7 linked regions of the Kluyveromyces lactis genome follow. The protein of the gene in region 1 interacts with the protein of each later gene in a pairwise test. Links are inferred from orthologs where the notes say so. Each region holds a gene or a part of one and is shown on either strand. Other genes may lie near its edges.

Region 1 (4,221 bases):
CAACGGAACCTGGCATGGTGAATGGACGTGGCTCTACAAATGGCTTAATGGCAATAAGCTCAATCAATTCTTCTGACAAATGGCCATATAAGAGATGAGAATCTAGCCATTTCTTAAATAGTCTTACCACTGGAGAGTAGAATGGGTAACTATGGGAAATGTTTTCCAAAGTTCTAGTATGTCTAATAGCAGCTTGGTACTTGGCAGTAAATTTCAAGAATGTCTTTTCCAGCTCTGGTCTTAGTTCTTTTCTTGCGTTGTTAATTGCTCTCAAATACATAACTTCGTCTCTCTCAGTTAGAACTCTAAACTTGAAACCGTATCCTTCTGGAGTCAAAATGTTTAGAGTAACTATTTCCAAGTTGTATGGAATCGATTCATCACGTGTAAAGTAGCACTTGTACTCACTATGAGTCTGCGTGATGGATTCTTGAATCTTCAATAAAAATGCAGCTTTAGCCTTTTCCAACGAAGTAATTTCGTCAGGCCATTTTGTAGACGTTTCGAATTCGATAACAACGTCTTGTAAGAAATCAGGATTAGAATATGCGTATGGGACAGGCTGACATAATGATGTGTACCTGAATGCAGAACCAATAGGTAAAAGAGATTTAATTGATAATGGGAGTTTTAGCTCGAACATGATTTTATACAAATCGTCAAAGGACTTCTTCAAGTTATAGTAGCTTGATAGGTTTAGAACTGATGTCTTTGAAGATGCAGGTAGGTTCGGTAGTGGTAACAACTGTTGGAATTGGCTAGTGGAATTATTGATGAGTTTGCAGTCTTCAGTCAAATGTAGCCTTAGAACATAGGACAAAATCGAAGAAACAACACTTTCAATAGCAGAAGTTGACCAGACACAGCAGTTTGCAATGGAACCGTCCTTGAATCTACGAAGAGATGCTTTTTTACCCCAAAAAATCTTGAATTCATTAGCTTCATTAGTTAATTCTTCTGTGTTCTCTGGGCCCTTAGTCACAAGCTTCTCACATTCTGCAGGGTTGATCAACAGTTTAATTTGGATTGAAGTGAAATTTGGAACAGCAGCAACTTTTCTCTTTGTTACTGGGAAAGTAGATCTATTGTTAACTAGAGCCACTTCAAAAGCTTTGATTCTATCCTCAAGGGCAATCTTCACGATGTTCGATACTTTATTGCAGATGAAATTTTCGAATGATATAAAGCTAATCTTTTCAACGGGACCGAACTTGGACAGTAGTAAATTGATGGATGGGATATCTAAATCATAGTAAGCATCATATTTCACTGTCTTGATCTTGTTTAAGTTAGTTAAGAACATGTTTTCGAACTGATCTCTGACGACGTCATTCAACATCAATAAACTTTCTTGCGCGTAGATCTTTAGCATTTGATAGCTGTTAACAGACATTTTACTCAGTATGTTAACTTTGGTGGTTTTATCAAAGATTGTAGGTGTTTGGAAACCTTCTTCAACGTATTTTGAGGAAGTGACAGTTGCAGTAGTGCTATAGTCGGAATAGAATTGTAAGTACCCATCAGTACAAAGATCCATTGTGGCCAAATATTTGATTACACCTTTGAATAATTGGTAAGATGAGAACCCATGCAATAAAATTCTGTTACCATTCAACCCACCACCATTTAGTAGGGCTGCCATCAACGTGGCAAACTCGAAATTTCCAAAACCACCCAACGCATCTGAATGAGACATATTTGATGAGAAGCCTCTCTGAGATAACCATAGCTTCCCCAAAATACAAGCCTGTTTAAACTGTTCTGTTTGTTTCTTTGATTTGTGTAAGTACTTCAAATAGTGTTCGTGACAAGAAGATGATAATACCGAGAAATTGTAGAAAGGTGTCGGAGTTTCGTTATCCTGACCGACTCTGATACAGTTCTTATTGGGTAGCAACTTCTTTGATTCGAAGAAATTGTATGGGAACCCCACGATCAAGTTTATGCTGAATTTAGTCTTGTAGAAATTATAGTCCGATGAAGTTTTCTCCTTACAACTTATCTTTAATACCGTTTGTAAAGGATCGTTGTTAAAGTATGAATATTCCAAGTGTAAGAAATCCAGCTGGCTTCTTTTCAGGACGAGTGAGATATGATGAGTCAAATACGCGAGGTATACTGAACGCTTGTGGAAACATCTAAAATTCAAGAAATCTTTCTTTTCGAACAACTGCTCAGGCATAGTCAACAAAACGTCTACTGCGGAGCCCTGAGGTTGGTAGATGGCAGTCTTCAACCCGAATGATCCAATTAAACTCACGTCCGGCTTTAAATAATTGAATTTGTACTGTGTGTTCTTCGCTTGTGGTTTTGGATCCACAAACGGAACTGATACCACTTTCCCATGGAAATATTTCTCTACATCTTCTAAGCTTTGCGGAGTCCATTCCGGTACTTCCTGTATCATATCATATAGTTTATGCAAAAACTTCTCCACCCTTACGATGTGTGAGTCCTTCAACTTCACTTGTTCCAATAACTCATCGATTTGTAATTTGAAAATGTTCGATTTGAAGAGTTCAGCCGTTTCTCTCGCTATTTGTATATCCTGGGAGCTCAACTTTGGCTTCTTAGCCTTATGGTCATGTGTGTTTTCCTCTTCCTCGTCTTCTTCCCCGCTGGAAGAGGCAGTAGCCTCTTCCTCTCTTTCTTCTTCTTCTTCTCCAGAAGAAGAAGAACCAGTCTTGTCACTGTCATTTTCAGCCTGTGAGCCAGTAATAGCTTTTACAAGCGCCTTCTTGGTGAAACTACCATTCCTGGACTTCTCACCATCTGGTGCTACACGTTTCACAGAGGCCATAGTTCACTAAATATCCACTTAATTCACTAGTTCCTGACCGTTTGCGCCTCTGGATTGATTATAATACAGAATGATAGCCAGTGCCCGAGTCCTAGGGTTTCAATTTCCCCTAGCCAAAACAGAAGAGAATTACCCTTTTAATATCTAGCAAACTAATACGAGGGAAATCCAAACAAAATCACTGTGATAAACCTGCCTATGGGTACGTTCATTCTATGTAAATGCGAATTCTTTAAACCTTTAAAGCTCATCGCCTGGCAAATTTTTCCAAAATTCGATGTGAAGGATTTTGATGCGTCTGTCACTTTATACGACGTGTCCAATCTCAGTCTCTCTGAATAATCAGTTAGATAGTCAGATACATAGAGTCATACTGGACTAAAGCCAAGTCCAACTCAAGTGCTGGAACTGGTACTATCCCGATATGTAGTAATATAGGGAATACATGGTTTTAGACGTACCGTATTGCTAGTTTTAGTGCACAATGTTACTTTAAGAAAAAAAAAATAGATTCGAGGAAGGTCAGATTGGATATTGAAAAAGATGAATGCCACCTGCCAGAATTGAACTAGCGACCTTTGCATTACAAGTGCAACGCTCTACCACTAAGCTAAGGAGGCACGAAATCTATTACAAATTTTACAGATTTTTTAGATCATTCGGCGGGTTATCTGTTGAGACGGATTAGAAACAATAGACGGTCAAGTATCAACATGAAACATCATTAACCAATCTGAGTTATTATATAAAGAGGCCATAGATCTGGGGAAAGACCATCAACACAGTCATGACAGATCGCCAGGTGCATCAACACACTAGCTATATATAGCTAGTAAACACTATGGATTCATCTGATACCGAAGGTTTTGAATTAATTACACGTGACTGTGACTGCGACAACCAGGATCACCTACATGGCAGCGTCACTGAGTCTCCGCAAGGAAGTAATGATCCGACAAGAGGTATCTGTGAAGATATACAAAGACTCGATATCGTTAGTGATGGTAGTGCTCCTAAACAGAGTTTAAAAGAGGATAAAAATGTTAACCCATACTCAGACTTAGATCCCGAGAGAGAGATATTTGGAGGAAGTACTTACGAAGTGTTTGATAGGGAATACAGATATCGAAGCAGTCTGTTGTTTAGTTATTCCAAGAAGAATAACAACTCGTGTGACAGCGAATATAAAGCTTTGATGACTTTTCCAGGTTCCAAGACAAGACGTCTGTTCATCTACAACAAGTGAAGTCAAAGGACCAATTTAACAGATGGGTTTACTGTTTAATTGGACAATTGAGACTAGCGGGACTAGAGAGTTTTATCCCGAACAAAAGCAATGACTGGTCCATAAATATAATTGACAACGACGAATTATCAAATTCAATTGTTTTCTTCTGGGAAGAATGTGTCCCGAAGGAATG
Region 2 (3,440 bases), on another chromosome or scaffold:
TGGTCTACACCAGATTGTACAGACAAGCTTTGGGTTATGCTGATAAGCCTCAACAAGTTGTTAACTTGTTGAAGAACATTGAAAAGGACCAAGCCGTTAAGATCGGTGCTTTCGGCGTGCAATTGTTAGGTTTATACTCATTGGGTGAAATTATCGGTAGAAGAAAGGTTGTTGGTTACCGTAACTACTCTACTCACCACTAAAAATGGAATTGATTGAGAGGCCGACCGTATCAATTTTAAAAGCATATTCAGTAACATACGAACGAAATTTTAACAACTACAAACAACACTATATTCATTTCCAGCCAAGAAAAAAACAACCTAAAAATAAAGCGACTTTTACTCTGGTTTCCCAGATGAAGTGTTAAAAGACTATATATATGTATCGTCTATATGTAATATACATACGGATTCTGCGACGCTTTAATTATATGTATATCATCATGACTTAATTCGAACATTTGATATTGGAAATAAGCAACAGGGGTTATCCTGAGGTTAGGTCGAATCGTTGCCAGCTTCTTCCTCGGCATCCGATACAGAGAGTTTCCGTTTCTTTGAAGCTTCGATCATTTCTCTTCTTTGTCTCTTTTTTTGTTTTACAACCTTAGGAACAGTACTGATTTGTTTCCTCTCCACATGACCCTTACCCTTTTTCAATGATTCCTTCTCTCTTTTGGACATGGAAGAAATCTTTTGCATCCACTCTGAGACTTCACATCCACTTTGCTTCATCACGTTTATTATTGGTTTAATTGCCAAAGAATCTTGTTTCGTGTAAAAAGTAATGGCTTTACCGGATCTACCACCTCTACCTGTTCTACCGATTCTATGCACATACGCCTGAGCTGATCTAGGAACATCATAATTGATGACCAGATTCACACCTTTGAAGTCGACACCACGAGCCAACACATCGGTACAGATCAAACACCAAAGGTCTCCAGACTTGAATCTTTCGATAATTTTATCTCTTTGAACTTGAGTTCTTTCGGCATGGATCACGTCCACATTCAACTTGTCATATAGCAATTCATGGAACAATGCCTTGGCTCTTGTAATAGATTCCAAAAAGATGATTACTGGAGGTTTGAATTCACCTTCAAGAACCAATTGCCTGATGGCTATAAGTTTACCTTCCTCGTTACCACAGAATACTAATTGTTGATCAATGTTGATATTTGCTGCTTCTTTGTGACCGATAATGACTCTGATAGGATCGTTCATGATGGTTTGGGCGATTTCCTCCACGTTGGATGGTATAGTGGCAGAGAACATTGTTTTACGGAGATGTGGATCAGTACATGAACTCAAGATATCATCAGTTTGTTCCACAAATGTCTTGTCGAATAATTTATCCGCTTCATCAAATATTAAATGTTTCACTTTACCCAAATTCAAGGCTTCTTCCTGAACCACAGTAATCAATCTCAAGGGAGTAGAAATGATAATATCGTACTTGTCCTCACTGATAACTTTATTCTTTAATTTTGAGCTTAATGATTTTGAAAGTAGGGCAACTTGCAGAGGTCTTTTCTTGTCCAAGTATATCTTGTTCGCTAATTTGGAACATTCGATGAAGATCTGGTTCGCAAGTTCTTTTGTTGGGGATATAATTAAACCTTTAAGACCAACTGTGGTTTTATCGTTGATTATCTGTTGCAGTAGTGGGATCAAAAATGCCAACGTTTTACCAGAACCTGTGGGAGCACAAGCGATCATGTCACGTTCATGCAACAAAATCGGTATAGATTCACTTTGAATCGGAGTTGGTTCAGTGAAGTTATTTTCTATGAGGTTGTTTAACAATCTCTTATCGAATTGGAACCTTGTGATCAAGTCTTCAAAAGAACCGATGGGCAAAGGAACACTATTCCCTGAAACATTCCCTTGATAAGATTTACGTAACTTTAACGCATCTTGTTTCGTGATAATTTTCCCGGATAACTCAGTCTCGTCATCAGCATGATCTTCGTCTTCTTCTTGATTATCTTCTTGTACTTCGTCTTCACCTTCACCTTTGGTTGACTCAGACTTTACCTTATTCATGATTTTCTTATTACGGAAAAAATCCAACTCCTTAGTCAATTGTTGTTCATCTCTAGCTGGTGTACTTGAGCTGCCAGCTGTCTTACTCTTCTTTTCATTAGCCATGCTAAAGTCTGCAGACTGTGTTCTATTAGAATCACCATTCTTCCTTATGCTAGCTCCACGAGTCAAGACTCTAAAGATATCCATGTTAATTAGCGGTGCTAGTATTGGCCTGTGAGAAGTTACTTAGTAATGAGAATAAATTCGATAGTAAACCACTGTGAGTGATATAATCAATCTCTTACTACTCTCTCATCTCATCTCATCTCATCTCATCGCCTACATCTAATTGCAGTTTTTTCAATTAAAATTGATCTTACTGAAGCGTTTCTTTTCACAAAACTTAGGGTACAATAAGTGTAAAAATCGATATAAAAGTACTTCTCAAGGCATAAAGATGCAGCAAAGCTTACTTTAAGATACAGCTGGTATTAAGCCCTCATAATACCAGCCCATAATGACCATATTCCCTTGATAACAGTACCTAATGCCTTGATATTGCATGTATTCCCATCATACAAGATAGCACTTAGACACAGCGATGACCTCGTTTGGAGTGATCTGAAAAATTTTGAAAAATTTCAAAATTTGGATCGCTGCCTCGAGTCGAAAAACTACAAAGAAACAGTTTGAATCGTAGTTAAAAGGACTAAACTGTTAGAATTAAGATTCAATAATTCTAATATTTGTGTCCTGTGTAATTACAATCTGTTGATATTCGGTCGAGGAAGATTGAATTGTGAAAATACCAGACAGAAACCATTCAGACAGTATTTTTTTACTTCTGGAATAATGTCCTTAACCAAAATTGGTCTTAACTTAAGCACAAAATTCGGCGTGCGTAATGGTTCTTATCTACACGTTGGGACTAGGGTACGTGGTTTGAAAAGAGACCCAGTTGAGTCTTTGAAGAATCCACACGGTTTGCACTATGATTCTCTTGTCAAGGATGGCCATGTATCTACTGTTAAGCAAGGTTTGAATTTGGAAAAATATGGTATTGACTTGCCAGACGACATCATTACACAATGTTTGACTCACAAGTCGTTTGCCCAAGGTATTAAACCATACAATCAGAAATTGTCTATTATCGGTGGTCATTTTGTGAAATATCAAGCTTGTCTTCATTCCTTGGGTCTACCTGTTTCTGAAAGGCAACTATCACAAAGCGTACAGTCTGAACCTGTTATTAACGGACTAAATTTCGGTATGCTTGGGAAGGGAAGTTCTAAAATGTTAATATCCAAACAGAGTACGGCTGAATTTTTGCAAAGGAGAAACCTAGATAAATTAGTGTTTTGGAACAAACGAGACACTCAAAAAAGTCACAAATATAACGGTGAGTAT
Region 3 (2,764 bases), on another chromosome or scaffold:
CCGGGATTAGAGCTCAAGCAGCTGAAGAACTAGCTAGATCTTATGGTTATGAGAAGACTGGAGTATGGCCTGGTTCGATCAATGAATGGCTGCAGAGGACCCAACCAAAGAAATGATTTGTAATGTCTTGTTCATTTTATTTTTTTTTGTTGTATCCATAATGAGAGTGATATGATTTGTTTGCATCTTCTTCCAAAAAATAACTGGATAAAGAGTAGGCTTTCATTTTCCCGAGTGATCCAGTTACTTTACTTAGCTGATGTGGTATAAATTTATTTGAAATCACGACTGTTCTGTCCCTTTCAGACTCGATTGTCAAATCTATGGTCCTAGATTTGGGTTCTATCTAAATTATTCCCGTTAAATCAACTATATAGAGTGGCCTAAATTTGAAAACCTGACATCTATACTTTATGTACACATAATGAAACATCCGTTTCAATAAAGGCAATATCTCTTTGAAATTAATGAGTAGAATGCAATTGATCCGATCGCATACTTTACCTCTTATGAAATTCGAATTGCTTAAATTCTTTACCTAATCTCTTCTTTCTCTTTCTATCCATTACCTTTTCTCTTTGTTTACCCTTCATGTGCTCGAACTTCCACTTTTGTATTACCTTCCGCTTCTCTGAATCCTTCAAATGGTATTTATTCTTGTTATTCTTGTTGATTTCTGCTTCATAATCCTTTACAATCTTTTGTTCCATTTCCATGACTTGCACCGTTTCTAATCTTGATTTCATCCTTCTCACCTGCTGCTCCATTTCACTCTTCTCTCTGTCGCTGATTTTACTTAGGAATTTTCTATCATGGAGCATGCTATCCAATTCGTTGATCTCTTTTTCTCTGTACTCATCCAAGAACTTGTATCGTTGACGGATTTTTGCCAAGTCTTCTGACTTTCCCATGGCTTTATCAAACCTGACATCTTGATAGATGGATTTACTCTTATTATCTTCTAACCCAGGAATCTTTCTCATGGAGCGCACTTTCTTCTTTGACGATGATTCGGTTGGTGCGTGCTTTCTTTTACCTTTCTTCTTTTTACCATTCTGATTAGCCTCATCGTTTGATTCTTCATCGAAAAAGCCGCCATCACTATCAGAATCACTTTCTTCTCCGAAAGATTCTTCTGCAAACATTTTGATAGACTGTGACTTTTGTTGTGCTTCTTCTTCCTGTAATCCGCTCTGACGTCTCTGTCCATCATCAAGTTTCCTTTGTTTCTCAGTCAACTCTCTTGATTTTGGCTTATTCAAATGTTTCTTCTCACCATTCGCTTTGCTTTTGCTTTTTCTGCTGGTTTGTTCCTCATTGTCCATCATTTCATCAGCTTTCTTCAAAGATCCAAATGAGAGTGTCTTTAGCTCATCTTCGCTTTGTGAACCTTCTGCATCACTTGTATCGTTTATTCTTATGATTGATGCTATGTCATCTTCCTCATCTTCGTTTCCTGAATGAAGATCTGGCTTGATATTCTTGAAGTAAAATGACATTTGTATATTACTGGTAGTTTTTGTGGCCGTGGCTGCTTACAGGTTAGTTATCAGTCGCTTCTACATAGAAGTTCTTCTTGATTTTAAGTTTAGCTCATCGCTTCTGCATTGGCACCGTATAAAATTTTCAATATCTGGAAGAAACTTGAAATTCCTATTCAGGCGATGTAAATGAATAATGGACAGGAAGGGAGCTTCAAATAATAAGGTCTGTGATCATACCAACAGCGTTGACTCAATTTAATCCACTGAAGCATTGTAGTGTTTTATATCTTATACTACATTAAATTTCTTTTACTTATTGTTATATATACATGAATTTTGTGATGGGTATCTCGTCACAAGAAATCATTGAGATTCAATACTTTCCTTTAGGGCCAATTTTCTTGAATGACGATCAAAGTAGTTCCCTAGTTCCATGAAGTTCATACTGCTTGGATCAGCTTCCAATTCAGTTTTATCTTTGAAAGTAACTTTCACTGTAGGTTTCTTATTAGAGCCAGAAACCAAAACTTCGTTTTGCAATTGTAATCCACTTGTTCTTTGTGAAGGAGGAATAGCACTTAAGAACAACCTAGCTGTCTTGGCTGTAGATGAAGATAAATGAGACGATTGATGTTTTAATAGTAAAACAACCGTAAATCATATTATGTTAGTAATGGTGTTCGGTAGTTTTAAATGATGTCCAACTAATGATTTCTCTTTCTTTGAAGACATACCTTCCTTTCCTAATGGATTGAATTTCACAACTGCCTTAGTAAAATATTTCGTGATCATGTTGCTCTATAGTTCTCTTGACAACAGCTGACAAACTCCCAAGTATTACTCTGATGAGACGTCCTCATCCAAAAACATACTTCACAGCTGTATTCATCTCTAGCTTTTTGCCTAAAACTGTTTAAATGGTAATAGCGATCTCATCAGAGGCTATACTATTACCCGGATAGTTTTTGAATGTTTTTGGGCGATGTTTGACGAAATGAAAAATATTGAAAGAAACATCCAATTGCAAAATGAACAACTTCAATATTTGCAAATGAAGCAAGACTGCTTTTAGCACAATCGGTTTTTAGGATCCTTGGATTGTTATTTAAGGTCGATATAAGGTACTCGCCTTTAATTGTTTGCAGGTTGAACTAAGTGCGGGTTGTTTTTCATTCGTTTATTCAATTGTAACAGCCGTTGATACGGTGAATCTATTGGCAAGCTTTTTAAAAAGGAACTATTCATATTCGAATTGGACTTTCAGTTTGATTGTAACTATA
Region 4 (3,010 bases), on another chromosome or scaffold:
GAGAAATTACTGGATTCACAAACATTTTGGAGTGATTTAAAGGCAGGAACGGATTCTGCCTTTCACGTTATTTTCCAGAAAAGGTGGGAATATCTTATGAAGTTCGGAAAAAGATTAACAATTCCTATTGTTCCCTATTTCGGACTAGCATTCAGATTCTGTCTACAGATTTTGTCATCGATTTTGGAACACTGCAGAGAAGTTCATTGTGACGGATGTAATATCCTTCAAAGCAAGAGGTATGTTCAGAGTGAGTTATTGATGTTGAAAGACAAAACGTTCATTGCAGAATTTCAAATGCTTGACTGGGCTCAGCTTCAGGATCAAAACAGTTCCACAACATCTGAAAACTTTCTCAATGAATGTCAATAATAAATTCGTAGATTTAGAAGCACCCGATCAAAATATATCCTCCAACACTTATTATAGGAAAGCTCACACAGTTGTTATTAGTATTATTATTATTATTAACTTCATAAAAATATTGATCTATGGAACGGTTATAATGTGTATTCGTTGTTTCTAATTGGAGCAAACCATGGATGAGCCATAGCTTCTTTACAAGAAAATCTTTCTTGATGGTCGTAACGAAGAAGATTATCGATTAAATCAATGATATCATCGTTTCCACATAGGTGCTTGTTGGAATCATTGACGAATTTCTGCCATGGTCTTCTGATGTATTGATCCATATCAATAAACTCATCTGGGAGTGTTATCTGATATTTCTGTAAATATCTTTCGAAATCATCACTACCCAAGACGCGTACAATCTTGACTAGCTGGTCAGTATTACTCGACCCATAGAAGAAAGGCTCTTTCAGAAAAACCATTGATGCTAACATTGCTCCAAATGACCATAAGTCTAGCGAGTAATCGTACATTCTATAATCAACTAGAAGTTCTGGGCCCTTGAAAAATCTTGACGCAACGCGGACATTGTATTCCATCGATGGATGATAAAATTCAGCCAAACCCCAATCGATTAGTCTCAATTTGTGTTGCTTATGGTCAATCATTACATTGTGTGGTTTGACGTCTCTATGCATAATACCCATCGAATGGCAGTAGTCCAAAGCTTTCAAAAGCTCGAACATATAATAACGAATATCAAGATCCGAAAATGAAGCATACAACCTACGGAATTCCGTATTGTCGATATGTTCAAAAATCAATGCAGGTGTCTTGGATATGGGATCTCTGACCACATCTAACAATGTTATAATATTCTCATGCCCGTTATGAGGTAAGTCATATACTTTATCTCTCGCATATTTCAGTACTTCTTCTCTTCTGTTTGTGTAATATTTTGCCTCATCGTAAGGTTGCGCAGTTGGCGGATTCTTCTCATTCGAGAGGTTTGCAAGTATGGTAATTTCTCTCTTAATCTTCTTCTTCTTCACAGGTTTTAGCATCTTAATGACAATCTTATTTCTCGTGGATAACTGTACGCCTTGGAAAACTTCACTATATTTACCACGGCCAACTTTGCATTCAACTTCGTACTGTGAGTTATTAGCCTTCCATTCTATTGATGTATTTTCATAGTCCCAGTATCTTTGACCACGAATCTCGTTGGCATCACTATAGACTCTTGCCTCACTCCACACTTTCGATTTCATCTTCCTTTTAATAATGTACTGGAAAGTCTCTAAAACTACCACGAAATTAACAACGAGAACGATTGCCAGCCAGTTTTTTGTTGACCTTTTCTATTTCTATAAACAGTGGTAATAATGAGTCCGAGAAATCCAAACCACTCACCGTATATAATCCAGTACGTTTGAAGCTTTTGTAATGCCTATACTCAAACTGGAATTTTCATTTCTGGGTTATCTGATTTCTTTTCAGTTCATGTCTCTCTTGCAAAAATTGACATTTCGAAACTACAGTATGAGGAGTTAGGGTAACGGTTTTATGTATAGAACAATTCTAGCCAATAATTGTGTTGACTGACGAACCGGCAAAATATAATGGTGTTCATTTAGCATTTATACGTAGTGTATGTGTGTATAATTTCTTACTTTATTTATTCAATTGATTATAATTTCTGGAAGTTTTCAATTAATTCGGAGTGTTGCTCCTTTTGCAATTTGGTAGAATCATCGTTACGTTCTCTCAACACGTTGTAAATATCCAACGTCTTTTCGAAATACACGATTTCGAGCATTGATCTAAGCTTAGATTCAATATCTTCAATCATAGATCCCAAGCTGGAAGAGTGAGCGGGTACTAGCTGTTCAACAGTAGATACGTTTTGCAATTTTACGGTCTTGGAATTTTCTCTAGTTAGATTACCGGACAATGATAGTTGTTGTTCTTTTGATAGGTTTTCCAAGTGCAAGATCACCGTTGTAGTGACATTATATGTGACTTCCATACCCTCTTCATCGTGGGTGGCAGATATGACGTGGATACTGTCCCATTTAGAATCATCTGATTCAGCTTTCTTGAAAAGAATGACTCCCGCGAAATCAGTTGATTCATCAACGTCCCAGAGATACGTTGAAGTGTAACCACCCTCGTAGTATAGGTCCCTATACAACTCGAAAGAATTGTTGCATGCAACTTCTAGTTCTCTCAATGGCTCACTGGGAAAAGGACTTTCTTTCAAATCTTCGGCACTCAATTCAGGGAAGTACTGGTTAGACCACGGTGACCTATGAGAATCGATGTCACGGTTGTAGTCGCAACATAAGAATTCTTTGTTGTTAGCATCGGTATCCTTCTTAATGGTCAATGGGATATCAATTGAGGAAAGTAATCCTTCTGCGATTTCAGGCTCCAACGCAATAAGGTTCTGTAAATGGGTTTTCACCTTTGTTGGATCCAATCTGTATAAAAGCTCGCAAGCAGCATCATATTTCTCGTCCACAGACATTCTAGTTCCGTATCTTCAGTATATTTACAACTAGTTACCACGCTCAATGAGTTTTCTTCAGTTTGCTTGATGTATTTACATTTACCCTTTCTACTCCTTTAATGATTTCTTTCGTAGTTTTCCTTTCAA
Region 5 (4,120 bases), about 450 kb from region 1:
CTTTGATTCGACATTGCAGAGTAGTAATTGGAACTAAAACCCACGAAATTCTACCCTCACTAATCACAGCCTATCTAATACAGGTATATTGGGGTTTTCTTATATTTGACACCAACTTTGGATAGAATAGAACTCTTATCGTTTAGAAACGACAACTTTTGCTTCTTTCTATAATACTACACATACAAAAGCTATTCTTATTTCATTTTAATTTTTCATTCGCAGAACAGGTTTAAAACAAAACTTTTTGAATGAAATTTCCCTTCAAGTAACATGTCATTTTAAACGTTTTGATCTTTGGAAGGTCTGTGGGTGAAATGCTTTGAATCACGAAGCAAGTCGGTAAATGCCAGAGCTACTTTGATGAGGCAATAAATTATTCAAGTGTATTGTCGTAATCCTAAAAGGGAGATGTTATCCTATTATTGGAATGCAAGGTTATCGTCTATTTTTATACATGATTAAATAAGTCAAGCAGTTGATGAATCTAAGATCCAATCAAATTTGCTGTTAGAGATTCCAAATCTTCAAGAGTCTGTGGCTCTTCCACTTCGATAATTCTATCACGTTCAGTAGTTCTTTCTTCCTCTTCCTCATCTTCACTGGAATCAGCATATTTGCTCTTTTTTCTTGGTTGCCTTTCATCTTGAGAATCGTCTTCAGTGTCAGCTCCAGATTGCATATCGTCACTTAGGTTCCCAGTTCCAAGGTATGCTACTGGTTCATCCTCATAATCACTATCCTCCATATCAGCTTCCATTTCTTTTCTCATTGCTTCTAGTCTCTTACGTTTCTTTTCTTGCCTTTTCTCTTTTGCAACCTGTTTATCTTCTACATCAACCTTTGCCATAAGCTCTGCCTCCTTAGACAAGAACTCTTCTTTTTGCTTCTCTGAGTTACCATTTTGACGGAAATCTTGTTCATCTTCTAATTCGTAAACAGGATGAGCTTTACCATCATCGTCAAATTTGACTTTGGTTGGGTTACCATTAGATGCTAATGTTGCCTTCCTTGATAATGCTTTCTTTTGGGCTCTCTTAGATGTTGGAACAAGAAGTTCAGGTAATTCAGCTTCATTCAACTCATGGTCTTGACGTTTAACCATGATGAAATCTTCATCCTCATCATCATGAGCTTGTGCTTTGGTGACATTCAGATAGTGCTCACTTAGCACAGTTTGGTTTTTCCGTTCGAACATCTTGTCATATCTGGTCCTCACTTCAGGTTTGTTTTCTTTAATCACATCACCTTCATCATTTGCCTTTGCTAGGGTTAGGAGCTGTCTTGATGTATTTTTCAACTCCTTTGCCTTCTCTATCGATTTCATTCCCCTCATCTTGATCTTTGGAGCACCTGGTAAACCTAAAGAGTTAGCAAATTGTTCCAATGGTATTTTGTCGAAATGGAAGACTTCTTTGTCTTTTTGAATGTATATCGATCTAACATAAGAAATGAAAGCCTTTTGGCCTAGATATTTCAATTCGGGATCTTTGAAAAGGAGTGATTGTAACTGAGGTTTGATAGATTTCTTTTTTGATTGTTTGATATTTAGTCTACTGGGCTCAATGTTTTTAGTTTTTAATCTTTTCAAGAATCCCTCCTCTTCCTCTGGTGTTAACATAATGAGTGACTTACCTTCTTTACCGAATCTGGCTGCTCTTCCAACTCTGTGGATATATGTATCGACATCCTCAGGACAATCAACCTGGATCACCCAATCAACAGATGGGAAATCAATACCTCTAGCAACCACATCAGTTGAGAATAGACAGACATGTTGCGCTCTGCTGAACTTATCCAGCGTCTCAGTTCTCGCCGTTTGCTTTTGTCTACCATGCAAGTGCATCAAAGATATACCAGGTTGTAATTTCCTGAAAGTTTCATAAACAAAATGCACCTGTTTAGAGCTTGATAGAAACACAATTAACTTAGACTTTAAATGCGATTTTATGAAACTGAACAGAATGTCAAGTTTGTCAGGTAGTGGCACTTCGATATATGACTGCTGTAAAGATTCTGGAGTCGCAGATGAACTATTAGCATTTAAAACTTCCATCGTTCCTACCTGTTTGTAATCTGTCAAAGATAATCTAGCCAAGTCATCCAAACTTTGTGATTGAGTAGCTGAAAACAAAAGTGTTTGTCTTGAAGCAGGCAAATTATTAATAATGGCATCAAGGGTTCTCTTGAAACCCATATCTAGACATCTGTCGGCTTCATCGAGTACTAACAACTGTAAATTTGAAGTATTGAATCCAACGGCTTGATCCATATGCTGTAAGATTCTGCCTGGTGTTCCTATTAGAATGTTAATTCTCGAAATTCTCTCTTTCTCAAAAGTAACATCTTTACCACCAATAACCAAACCGGCGGAGAAGGTAGTGTGCTTACCAATTTTACTTAACACTTCATATATTTGCATGGCCAATTCTCTTGTTGGGGAGATGATCAATGCACCTAGCCCATCCATGTCTGTCCACTTCTCTCTGTATAACTTTTCGATAACAGGGATCAAAAATGCTAGAGTCTTACCAGAACCTGTCTTGGCAGCGCCTAATACATCGTGGCCTTTCAAGGAGAGAGGTATGGACTCGCGCTGAATCTCGGTTAATTTGATAAATGCTGCTTCTTTCAACCCTTTTAGAGTTTGTTCACTAATGGGTAAATCTTGAAACAAATTAGCCTTAGCAATTTTCGGGTTATATTCTTCAACCTTAGTTTCAAGATCTTTGATCTTCTGGCTGTCTCTTTCACGAATCAGCTTACGCTGCTGGGTATTATGCTTTTGTTTCTTGGCCATCTTTAAATGCTCTTTGCAAACCAATTATAAGTTATATTGGCACAGTTGATTAAACGTTTAGTTAAATGATTAAATGCACCAGTTTGCTACTTTAATCAACTTCTCTATAGGTCGATTAATGATACCGCTCAAAGACAAAGTAAACTACTTTTCCTTGAGGTTGAGGTTCGAACCTCTATCTAGATGAGATGAGATGAGATGAGCTCTTCTATTTACCAAAAATTTTCTTTTCTATTTCTTTTTTCCTACAACATGAAAAGCGATGAAATGACAGATGAACCTTATATTGTGAATTGCACAATATATGGAATAAATATGTAAGATATATGGAATATACCGTCATCTATGGAAGCAACGGCGCCAAAAGAATGAGCATCAAACGTGAAGGTAGCAGATATCGATACGATCACGAAACGAAAAGAAGCCGCTATGAAGGTGCCCAAAAAAAAGTAATCTTGCCTATATTTGAGCCATCAGGATTATTGGAACTGGAAAGCCACCAGAAAAAAGGCATACAACTTAAGCATGTAGAGCCCAAAGATGCGATATCACCCCACGATTTCTATAAAAAGCTAAAAGTACCTAAGTGGGATCAAATTCGTTATGAGCTTGTTGTGTATAGGAAGGGCGTCAAGGGTGAAGTAAGTAAAACTAAGTTGCATGATAAAAGTTGCTATATTATCGGTAGAGGATTAGGTCAGAGTCTACGACGCTTCGAATCTGATGGAGAGGAAATTATTCTTGCTGATATCCCAATCCAAGAGGAAAGCTGTTCGAAAGAACATTGTGCCGTACAATTCCGACAAGTCGGTGAATCTTTAATTCCATACTTGATTGATCTTGATTCTTCCAACGGTACGTGTTTGAATGATTCAGCCGTTCCTAGCGCCCGGTATATCGAGTTAAAGAGCTCTGATATTATACACGTATCTGAAGATCCAAATGATTCAGATTATGAGCTCATTTTCCTAGCCGTATGATCTATTCTTTTGTATTTTTCATGTACAAGTCCTTCTTGAGAATCGATTTCTTGAAACCTTATATTATTTGTATTTTATAAAATCGGAAATGTAATTTCTATACATTACAAAACTATGTGAGAAAAAGATAAATCAATATCGATGTATGCTAGAGAATGGAAGAGGTAGTTGGACTCGTTTTAAATATGTTAAACAAGAACTTTTTCTTTTTTTTTTTTTTGCTGCTTTATTCTTCTCGTTGCGTACAAGTCAATGGAACTTTCCGCAGTTGTGTTGTTCCAGACATACGGGTCAGCATCAGAGCTTGTCAAATATAGAAATGACATGCGCAAGACAATAC
Region 6 (3,664 bases), about 420 kb from region 1:
ATGAACTCGTCAAACCATCAGTTAACGTATCAACAAAAGCAGAGTTATTGTTGAAAGCCCTTGATCATGTCTTTTTCAGATCAAAATCTGGCACTAAACAAAGAGCTGCTGCGTTCACAAAGAGAATTTACATGGCTTTGCTGCACACTCCAGAAAAAACATCAATTGCACTGCTGAAGTTTTTGGATAAACTAACTACCAAATATCCAGAAGTACTGGGTTTATACTCTACAGACGATAGAATTGGAAATGGGGAGTTCCGCATCGACACAGACTTACCAAGTAGAAGTAATGCAGAAGCAGCAACTATATGGGAAAATAGCCTTCTTGTCAAGCATTACAGTCCTTCTGTTGTAAAAGGTGTAAGATCATTATTCCATAAATCTCAAGAACATAAATAGTTTGGGGGATAAAAAGATAATTAAGAATTCTCTTATTTACCACCTTCATTTCAATGCAATTGCATTAATTATAGTAATATATACTTACTGTAACAGTGTCTATAACTTGAAATTGATGTTACCAGATGCATTATCCTTCTTTATATTACCCTTAACATCAGTTTTGGCACCCTTTTTATCGATAACGGTTATGTTCTTGGATTTAGTCAAGGTATTAAGAACATCATCCGTCTTACTCTTCTTTCTAGGTTGTTCGGCTCTTTTCGCAGATAGCTTCGATCTCTTTCTCTTAGCAGCTCTACGGAGTCTGTTTTTATCCTCTCTGGACAGTTCATCTCTGGACATCACCACACCATTCTTCAAAGTTATTTCATTAGAGTTCTCTGATTTACCAACTTTGTAGATTTCCTGAGGAGCTAATGTGGAACCACTTGACATTGTTAGTGGTTGTGCATCTTCCATAGAAATAGCGGCGGTTTGCACTCTTACTTCAAGATCTTTCTTTATCGGCTTAGGTATGAAGTGGGCTGACGATAATGCATCTAGTTTGTAAACCAAATCTTTATATAGCTCTGAAATTTCATCGTGACTTTTCTGTAATTCTTCTGATATTTCAGTATCCTCGGTAACACCTTTGAAATCATCTTCATAAATTTCAGCTAGTGATTTTGATGACTTTACATCACTTAGTTCGAATCTTGGTTTATTATTGTAGCCTGAAATATCGCTGATAACCCTCCTCTGTAGATCGTTAAAATCTTCTTCCTTGATCCTTCTACGGATCATATTCTCGAGAGTTTCTGTTACCTCAGCTGTTATAACTGGCACAGGTTTGGCAGTTCTTTCGAACTCAAGATCTTCCGTTAACAAGGCATCTTCTGGCCTATCGCGAGCTTTTACTTCACCTTTTAACGCCCATTTCTTCTCAGCAACAGCTTCCTTTTCGAGGGATTCTATTTGTCTTTTTAGCTCAAGTTGTTGACGTTCAAAGGTAGATAATGGTTGTTCAGCAGTTTCTTCATCTGATCCCTGAAAATCATCGTCTTCGTCAGCAAAAAGATCTAACTTAGCTTCCTCCATTGCATCATCATACTCGCTTTCGTCAAAGGATTCATCCTCTTCGGCCTCTGCTTTCTTTGAAGGTCCTGGCCGCCTGTCCTGGGAAGATTTTTTATTAGATGGCTTATCAAAGAAATCGTCGTAATATAGAGCTTCTTCATCTTCCTCCGATGGAACATCTGCGAAATAATCAACTTCTTCGTCATCCTCATCTTCTTCATCTGCATCTTGGCTTCTATTCTCAGCCTCAAGTGTTTGTCTATTGAATTCATCTAGATTGAAAAATTGATCGTTTACACCAAACTTGTCTTCGATCGCTTGTGGACTTTCTTGTGCTTCTACAAATTGATCATCAGGTTCCGAATCACTTTCGTTTTCCAATTTATCTTCTTCCTTCTCATGTAATTCTAAAGGTTCTGGTTCTGAGAACTGTTGTTCTTCATCTAAAACGAGCTCTTCATTTTCTGCTTCTTCCTCCTCCTCTTCAATAGCAGACTCTTCAGAAACTGGAGCTTCGTCTGCAGACATTTCATTGGAATTTTCAACATTAGAGGCATCATCTTCGTCTCCGCTGCTTTCCTCGCTCATATCATTCTCATTATCAACCTTCAGTTCGGCGATTTTTTCCATGATATCACCTTGAACATTATCTAAAATGATTTTTGACTGCCACCATACCTGGTTAGCATCTAGCCCATCAACCACTATCTCATCTAATGTTGTCTTTGAATTTCCATTGTTTTTATTCAGATTGATGACTTCGTCAAAGTAAGTCTTCACTGCCGATAGTGGTTCCTTGGACTCCAGAGCATCCTGGGAAAGAAGTCCAACAGGATTAGTTTTCAAAATTTCCAAAAACTGACTCATGTTGTGTTATGTGTGGGTCAGTGAAACGTTACCTATTTACTGGTGTAGCTGTAGTGGATGTATCGATACGATCAAGCTGCTACTATAGACGCATATTTCGTACATGCTGAGTGATGCGATGAGATGAGTTTTCATCAATTTTTCAGGTATCCAAAAATTTGAAAAAGAAAAAAATGATGGGAACTGTCGCCAATGCGGGTAAGAAGAGAGATAATAGACACAGTTGTGAGGCATTGGTTGGGTGATGAATACTAGACAGAAGTACATATGGGTGAAAAGTCATTATATGAAGTGTGATTCCCTTAGTTTGGGTGCTAAAATTTTGCATAAAGACACGTAGATGCATATACAAGAATGAGGTGCTGGCAAATTCAACAGCATTTGTAGGTAATTCATGAGGTGAAGGAGGCGTATACTCCAAGAGTGGATAATACTGCACTAATTAATATCGTAATATTACACGCTATCAATTCCCAAGATTTAATGGTTTTGTAGCAAATTCTTTTGTAGAACAAACATGGCAGAATGAAACAAATCATGAAACAAAGTGCAGCACCCAAGAATGCAATTATTTTGTCAAATTCAGGGAATAAAATAGCAATAATCACGAACATAACATTCACCATGATTCTGTTAAATATTCTGGTTGCCTTTGCGAAAAAAACCTTCGATGCTGGTTTAGTTTCATCGATGTGCACTACGTTAAACATTGAATCAAAGATGGAGACAATCGGTCTTGCATTAAGTGGTGTTTTGGCAAGTGGAATCAGTGAAAGAAGAGTTGAAATTAGGCCATAAACAAAAGGCGGGTATCCTGGAGTCAATAACACACTTCTTGTCACTTCATTCATAACAAGATTACCGAACATTAAAAATCCAACGACAGCAATTCCGATATCAGTAACAATGGTGATGCTATAAGTGGTCTTCAAACAACGAGTAAACTTCTCCGGATGCCTCATATCACTCTTTAAGTTGGGAAAGACTGCGTGACCTCCCCAGCATGCACTCAATAACCCTAAGGAAAGACAAAACTCCTTGAATGAATTGGGCCACATCGATGTGGCTTCTGGTTGCAATAATGACCCTGGTGAATATTGTTTTAGCAACCCACAGAAAACTACTAACAATGCAGTTCCAATAGTCGAGATAATACCCAACAAAGAGATATTTGATAAAACACTTAATGGCAAAAATATTGGAGGAGTAACTGCAAAAAAAGCGACGAATTTGAAGAAGTTGACCGAATATTCTGGGAACAACGCGTTCAATGAATCACCGAACAAAATGATCAAGGCTACACCACATGCTAATAAATCCATAGCAAATAGGAACGA
Region 7 (3,744 bases), on another chromosome or scaffold:
AGGATTTGATCACGTGATCAGGCGCTATCGTCTTTTTCAACTCTTTATCTGCGATCTCGCTAGCAGAACCCGCTAGCATCATGATGAACTCTACCCCACATTCGATGATTATTTCACGAGCCTCCTTACTGAATGTTAGATCGGAATCAAGTACTTCAGATATGATTTTTTGAACGGTAGCCTTCGGTAATGTAACGTCGTCAACCTCTCCAACCATGTTTTCAATTGCTTATGGTTGAAATTCTAACGGTCTTTATTTTCTAAGATAAAGCTTGTGATTATTATTTTTTGGTTTTGCAAGCTTCCCTGAAAAAACTATAATACTCTCGAACTTAATTCTGTGCTGCAAGTCAATATACCAAACAAGCACTTCACGTAGTAATCAATTAGATAATTGGATGAACTTGAGATGATAACAGATTGTAAACAAATTTAACAATGTCAACTTTTGTTTTTAAATGCCTGGTATTACACTTTTTTGTCCTCCTTGAACTCTAGATCTGAATTATGTATAATAATATATACTAAAAAAATACTCATCGCTATTTCATTCACTATGCAAAAAAATGATATGGCTCGCCAAATTGGCACATTTTTTGATGCTTTATATATAAAACTACGAATCAAACTAAGAAGAAAAGTTGAAAATAAAAAAAAAAAAATTAAAACAACAACACACATCGCACACATCGCATCACCTATGCAAACAAGGGACAATAAGGGAATTCTGATTGGAAAATATATATATATAGATGTATATTCAAATTAGCAACAGGACAGAGACATATAAGTGTTGACCTTGGTTGTTAGGCAGGAGCTCTTTCCTTACTTGACGTAAATTCTTTATGTTGTGTTAATCACCCAGCTTCCTCTCATCACAGTAGAAATGCTAACTAGTGTTTGTTAGGAGATATGAAGTGTATAACTTGAAAGCAGGAAGGCAATGTTTGGAGGTTGTAAAATAAGATTGCAAAAGCTGAGTTAACGAACTCAGCTCAGTGGATGTATCCTGAAGAAAAGCCTTAAATTGGGGACCACTGGCTATATGCTCCAAATCACGTGAACAATATATGCTAACTTCTTATTACCCGGCACTTGTTTTTTGTAAGTAAATCTCACTTTTCTTTCTCCTTTCCAAGCTAAAGCTTTTCATTTGAAACTTTTCATAGCTCATCTCATCGCATCTCATCTGAGCTCATCGCACAGTATTTACTTTTGTGTACTTACTTCTTTCCTAAAGTGTTTCGATAAAACGTCTTGGGATATTAATTGAACAATCACCGGCTTTCGTACTGTTTAAGCTAGAGGTCTACACTCTACCACACGAATAACAATAGCAAGCTTAACGATGGCAACAGCTTCGCCAGTCGTATTATCACAATATGATCCAACCGGACAATATTTTGCATACGTTTCCACCGCTTTGGATAAACAGCGGGTATCAGTGGAGCCAACAACTGCCTCCAAATCTGGTTTAGTGAACGATAATTTTCTCTATTTGGAGGGGAAAGACGTCTGCTGTACATGCATACAATGGATTACTTACAATGACACACCATTGGTAGTTCTGGGTCTAAACCTAGGGGAAATATGGCTATACTCTCCTTTATCGAATGAAATAGTGGCGAAACTGAACACAGGATCAAGCTTAGCAGTTTTAGATTTCCAACTCTTTTCAAGCAAGGACAAGGCCTGGTGTTTGACTGGTGATGATACTATTTTTTTATTCGACATGGTATCACAGAATGTATCAAAAAAATTCAAAATTGATGAATGTAAGGACTTAAAAAAGCTATGCATAGTTGATAGCAATCGTATTCTTGTCGCTTCTCATCAAATTTACTTAATCGATGTCATTTCAAAGAAATTGTTGTTACAATACCCTGGCCATATTTCACCTGTGTCTTTCCTTCAAGTGACCACAGATGGAACAGCATTTTTGAGTGCATCTCAGGACGATAGATTTTTGAATATTTATGATTTGGACACTACCAAGACTAAGTCCGTCCTAGTAGCGGACTCGAACGTTATATCAATTTCGATATCTGAGGATTGGTCTCACGTGTCGGCAACAACAGAAGATGGGGATATTGCTATCTTTGAAGAACCTTTGGTATCAATCAATTCAGGGAATAAGAGACGTTCTGGTAAGATATCCAAACAAAAAAACAAAACTATAACTTTATTAAGGTCTAATTCCGCAACCAGATTGCCTATTATCAAAAGTTTTATCAACAAAGATCTAATTAATTTTTCGTGGTTAGAAAATGCAACCACACCTTACTTTGATCAAGTTCAATTAGGTAACCTAACGGATTCAGTCACCACTTTATCCAAGCCATTGCCATCTGCTAAATCTACACAAACCAGGAACAACCAAAACAGTGATATTTCTTCGGCAAAGCTCTACAAAGAGGGTAATGCAACGGTAACATCTGGTGATAACTTTAAGCATGTGGAATCCATTGTCCAAAGTTTAGATGATATAGAAGGAGAAGGGATTTCAGAAACTTTACAGGATAGACTAAATATAATTTCACCACCATCGAGAAAACCAAAGGAAAGGAGAAGAGCCAACGCTGGTACTTCTTCTGTTGTATTAGCTCAAGCATTAAAATCAAATGATCATGCTCTATTGGAAACAGTCCTTAACACACGCGACGAAAAAGTCATTCAAGCAACCATAACCAGGTTATCCCCCCAACTTGCTACGATTCTCTTGGAAAGACTCGCTGAACGTATCGCCAGACAAACTCATAGACAAGGTGCTTTGAACGTGTGGGTGAAATGGTGCCTAATAATTCACGGGGGTTACTTAGTTACCATTCCAAATTTGATAAATTCATTGTCATCGCTACATGCTACTTTGAGGAAACGAGCAGATCTCTTACCAACACTCATGGCATTGGATACACGTATTACACGTTCATTAGATGAATTGAACAGTAAGAGAGCCGTACAATACGGCAAGGATCAACTTGATTCTGAACTTGTCGCTCCATATCAGGATGACGAGTCGAACCAAAATGAAGATGAAGAGGAAGAAGTGGAATATATAGAAGAGCTAGACGATGCTGGATTAATAGACGATGGTGAAGACAGTGCAGAGTACTCTGAAGATGATGACGAACACAGCGAGGCTGATAATCAGGAACTTACATACACTGAAGAAGGATTTGACGACGATGACGAAATGAGGGTCGACGTTGAAGAAGGATACTCTGACGAAGAAGTTCAGCATTAGCGTACATAAAAGAAAAAATATAAAACGCTAACGCATTGAAAAATGCAGCTGCTATGTATCGACTTAGACCTGACATTCTTCCTCCATGCAGCTTTAAGCTTGATTGATCATTATGGCCGGGTAATGGAAACATCGGAGTTTGACTCTGTCTGTAAATAATCTAATTAAAAAAAACAATTGTTTGCTAGTGATGCTCTCAGAATTCAATTTAATCCAGAACCAAACAAGTTAAAAATTTAAAGCGTGGAACATGGAAAATGTAGAAGCGTTTAATGAGGTGTTCTGTGTTGGTTTAGAACGTGCATTTTTGGTAGACGGTCTATCCGGCTCGGAAATCCCGTTCTCGTAAACAATTTTAGAATTTCTCTACTGGTTGCAAGCACGTAGGTTCGTCTCGCGGTACGGGAGTTGATCTTGTCCATGGGATCAGTATCTATCGTTTCGTTTTGTTTTTTTTTATATCTTTGACAGATAAAGTATAAATGTGTCGTGTATTCTTT

Evidence for each region.
Region 2: the proteins of UTP22 (region 1) and ROK1 interact in binary tests that used the Saccharomyces cerevisiae proteins (3 or more experiments, as listed by UniProt). The link is inferred for Kluyveromyces lactis from reciprocal best matches to the Saccharomyces cerevisiae genes UTP22 and ROK1.
Region 3: the proteins of UTP22 (region 1) and RRP36 interact in binary tests that used the Saccharomyces cerevisiae proteins (3 or more experiments, as listed by UniProt). The link is inferred for Kluyveromyces lactis from reciprocal best matches to the Saccharomyces cerevisiae genes UTP22 and RRP36.
Region 4: the proteins of UTP22 (region 1) and CKA1 interact in binary tests that used the Saccharomyces cerevisiae proteins (3 or more experiments, as listed by UniProt). The link is inferred for Kluyveromyces lactis from reciprocal best matches to the Saccharomyces cerevisiae genes UTP22 and CKA1.
Region 5: the proteins of UTP22 (region 1) and HCA4 interact in binary tests that used the Saccharomyces cerevisiae proteins (3 or more experiments, as listed by UniProt). The link is inferred for Kluyveromyces lactis from reciprocal best matches to the Saccharomyces cerevisiae genes UTP22 and HCA4.
Region 6: the proteins of UTP22 (region 1) and MPP10 interact in binary tests that used the Saccharomyces cerevisiae proteins (3 or more experiments, as listed by UniProt). The link is inferred for Kluyveromyces lactis from reciprocal best matches to the Saccharomyces cerevisiae genes UTP22 and MPP10.
Region 7: the proteins of UTP22 (region 1) and UTP5 interact in binary tests that used the Saccharomyces cerevisiae proteins (3 or more experiments, as listed by UniProt). The link is inferred for Kluyveromyces lactis from reciprocal best matches to the Saccharomyces cerevisiae genes UTP22 and UTP5.

Annotation. Positions count from the first base shown.
Region 1 is NC_006040.1:1,246,570-1,250,790, reverse strand, and holds the start of UTP22 (rRNA-processing protein UTP22), read right to left. Parts: upstream 2,801-4,221; coding exon 1-2,800. Other genes in the region: KLLA0_D14762g (uncharacterized protein), read left to right, coding at 3,642-4,046. UniProt on the Saccharomyces cerevisiae protein: Involved in nucleolar processing of pre-18S ribosomal RNA and ribosome assembly.
Region 2 is NC_006039.1:1,528,741-1,532,180, reverse strand, and holds ROK1 (RNA-dependent ATPase ROK1), read right to left. Parts: upstream 2,241-3,440; coding exon 501-2,240; downstream 1-500. Other genes in the region: ATP20 (F1F0 ATP synthase subunit g), read left to right, coding at 1-203; MRPL15 (mitochondrial 54S ribosomal protein mL57), read left to right, coding at 2,886-3,440. UniProt on the Saccharomyces cerevisiae protein: ATP-dependent RNA helicase involved in 40S ribosomal subunit biogenesis. Required for the processing and cleavage of 35S pre-rRNA at sites A0, A1, and A2, leading to mature 18S rRNA.
Region 3 is NC_006039.1:595,764-598,527, reverse strand, and holds RRP36 (rRNA-processing protein RRP36), read right to left. Parts: upstream 1,500-2,764; coding exon 501-1,499; downstream 1-500. Other genes in the region: KLLA0_C06864g (rhodanese-like domain-containing protein), read left to right, coding at 1-116; MRPL44 (mitochondrial 54S ribosomal protein mL53), read right to left, coding at 1,848-2,086, 2,219-2,276.
Region 4 is NC_006041.1:381,486-384,495, reverse strand, and holds CKA1 (casein kinase 2 catalytic subunit CKA1), read right to left. Parts: upstream 1,623-3,010; coding exon 501-1,622; downstream 1-500. Other genes in the region: CAP2 (F-actin-capping protein subunit beta), read right to left, coding at 2,042-2,881.
Region 5 is NC_006040.1:801,296-805,415, forward strand, and holds HCA4 (RNA-dependent ATPase HCA4), read right to left. Parts: upstream 2,801-4,120; coding exon 488-2,800; downstream 1-487. Other genes in the region: CTK2 (Ctk2p), read right to left, coding at 1-14; PML1 (Pml1p), read left to right, coding at 3,127-3,780. UniProt on the Saccharomyces cerevisiae protein: ATP-dependent RNA helicase required for ribosome biogenesis. Involved in the release of U14 snoRNA in pre-ribosomal complexes. Required for pre-rRNA cleavage at site A2.
Region 6 is NC_006040.1:821,799-825,462, forward strand, and holds MPP10 (rRNA-processing protein MPP10), read right to left. Parts: upstream 2,328-3,664; coding exon 501-2,327; downstream 1-500. Other genes in the region: NOC3 (Noc3p), read left to right, coding at 1-401; AVT1 (Avt1p), read right to left, coding at 2,720-3,664. UniProt on the Saccharomyces cerevisiae protein: Involved in nucleolar processing of pre-18S ribosomal RNA. Required for the early cleavages at sites A0, A1 and A2 during 18S ribosomal pre-RNA processing.
Region 7 is NC_006039.1:579,001-582,744, forward strand, and holds UTP5 (Utp5p), read left to right. Parts: upstream 1-1,348; coding exon 1,349-3,244; downstream 3,245-3,744. Other genes in the region: negative cofactor 2 transcription regulator complex subunit NCB2, read right to left, coding at 1-217. UniProt on the Saccharomyces cerevisiae protein: Involved in nucleolar processing of pre-18S ribosomal RNA. Required for optimal pre-ribosomal RNA transcription by RNA polymerase I together with a subset of U3 proteins required for transcription (t-UTPs).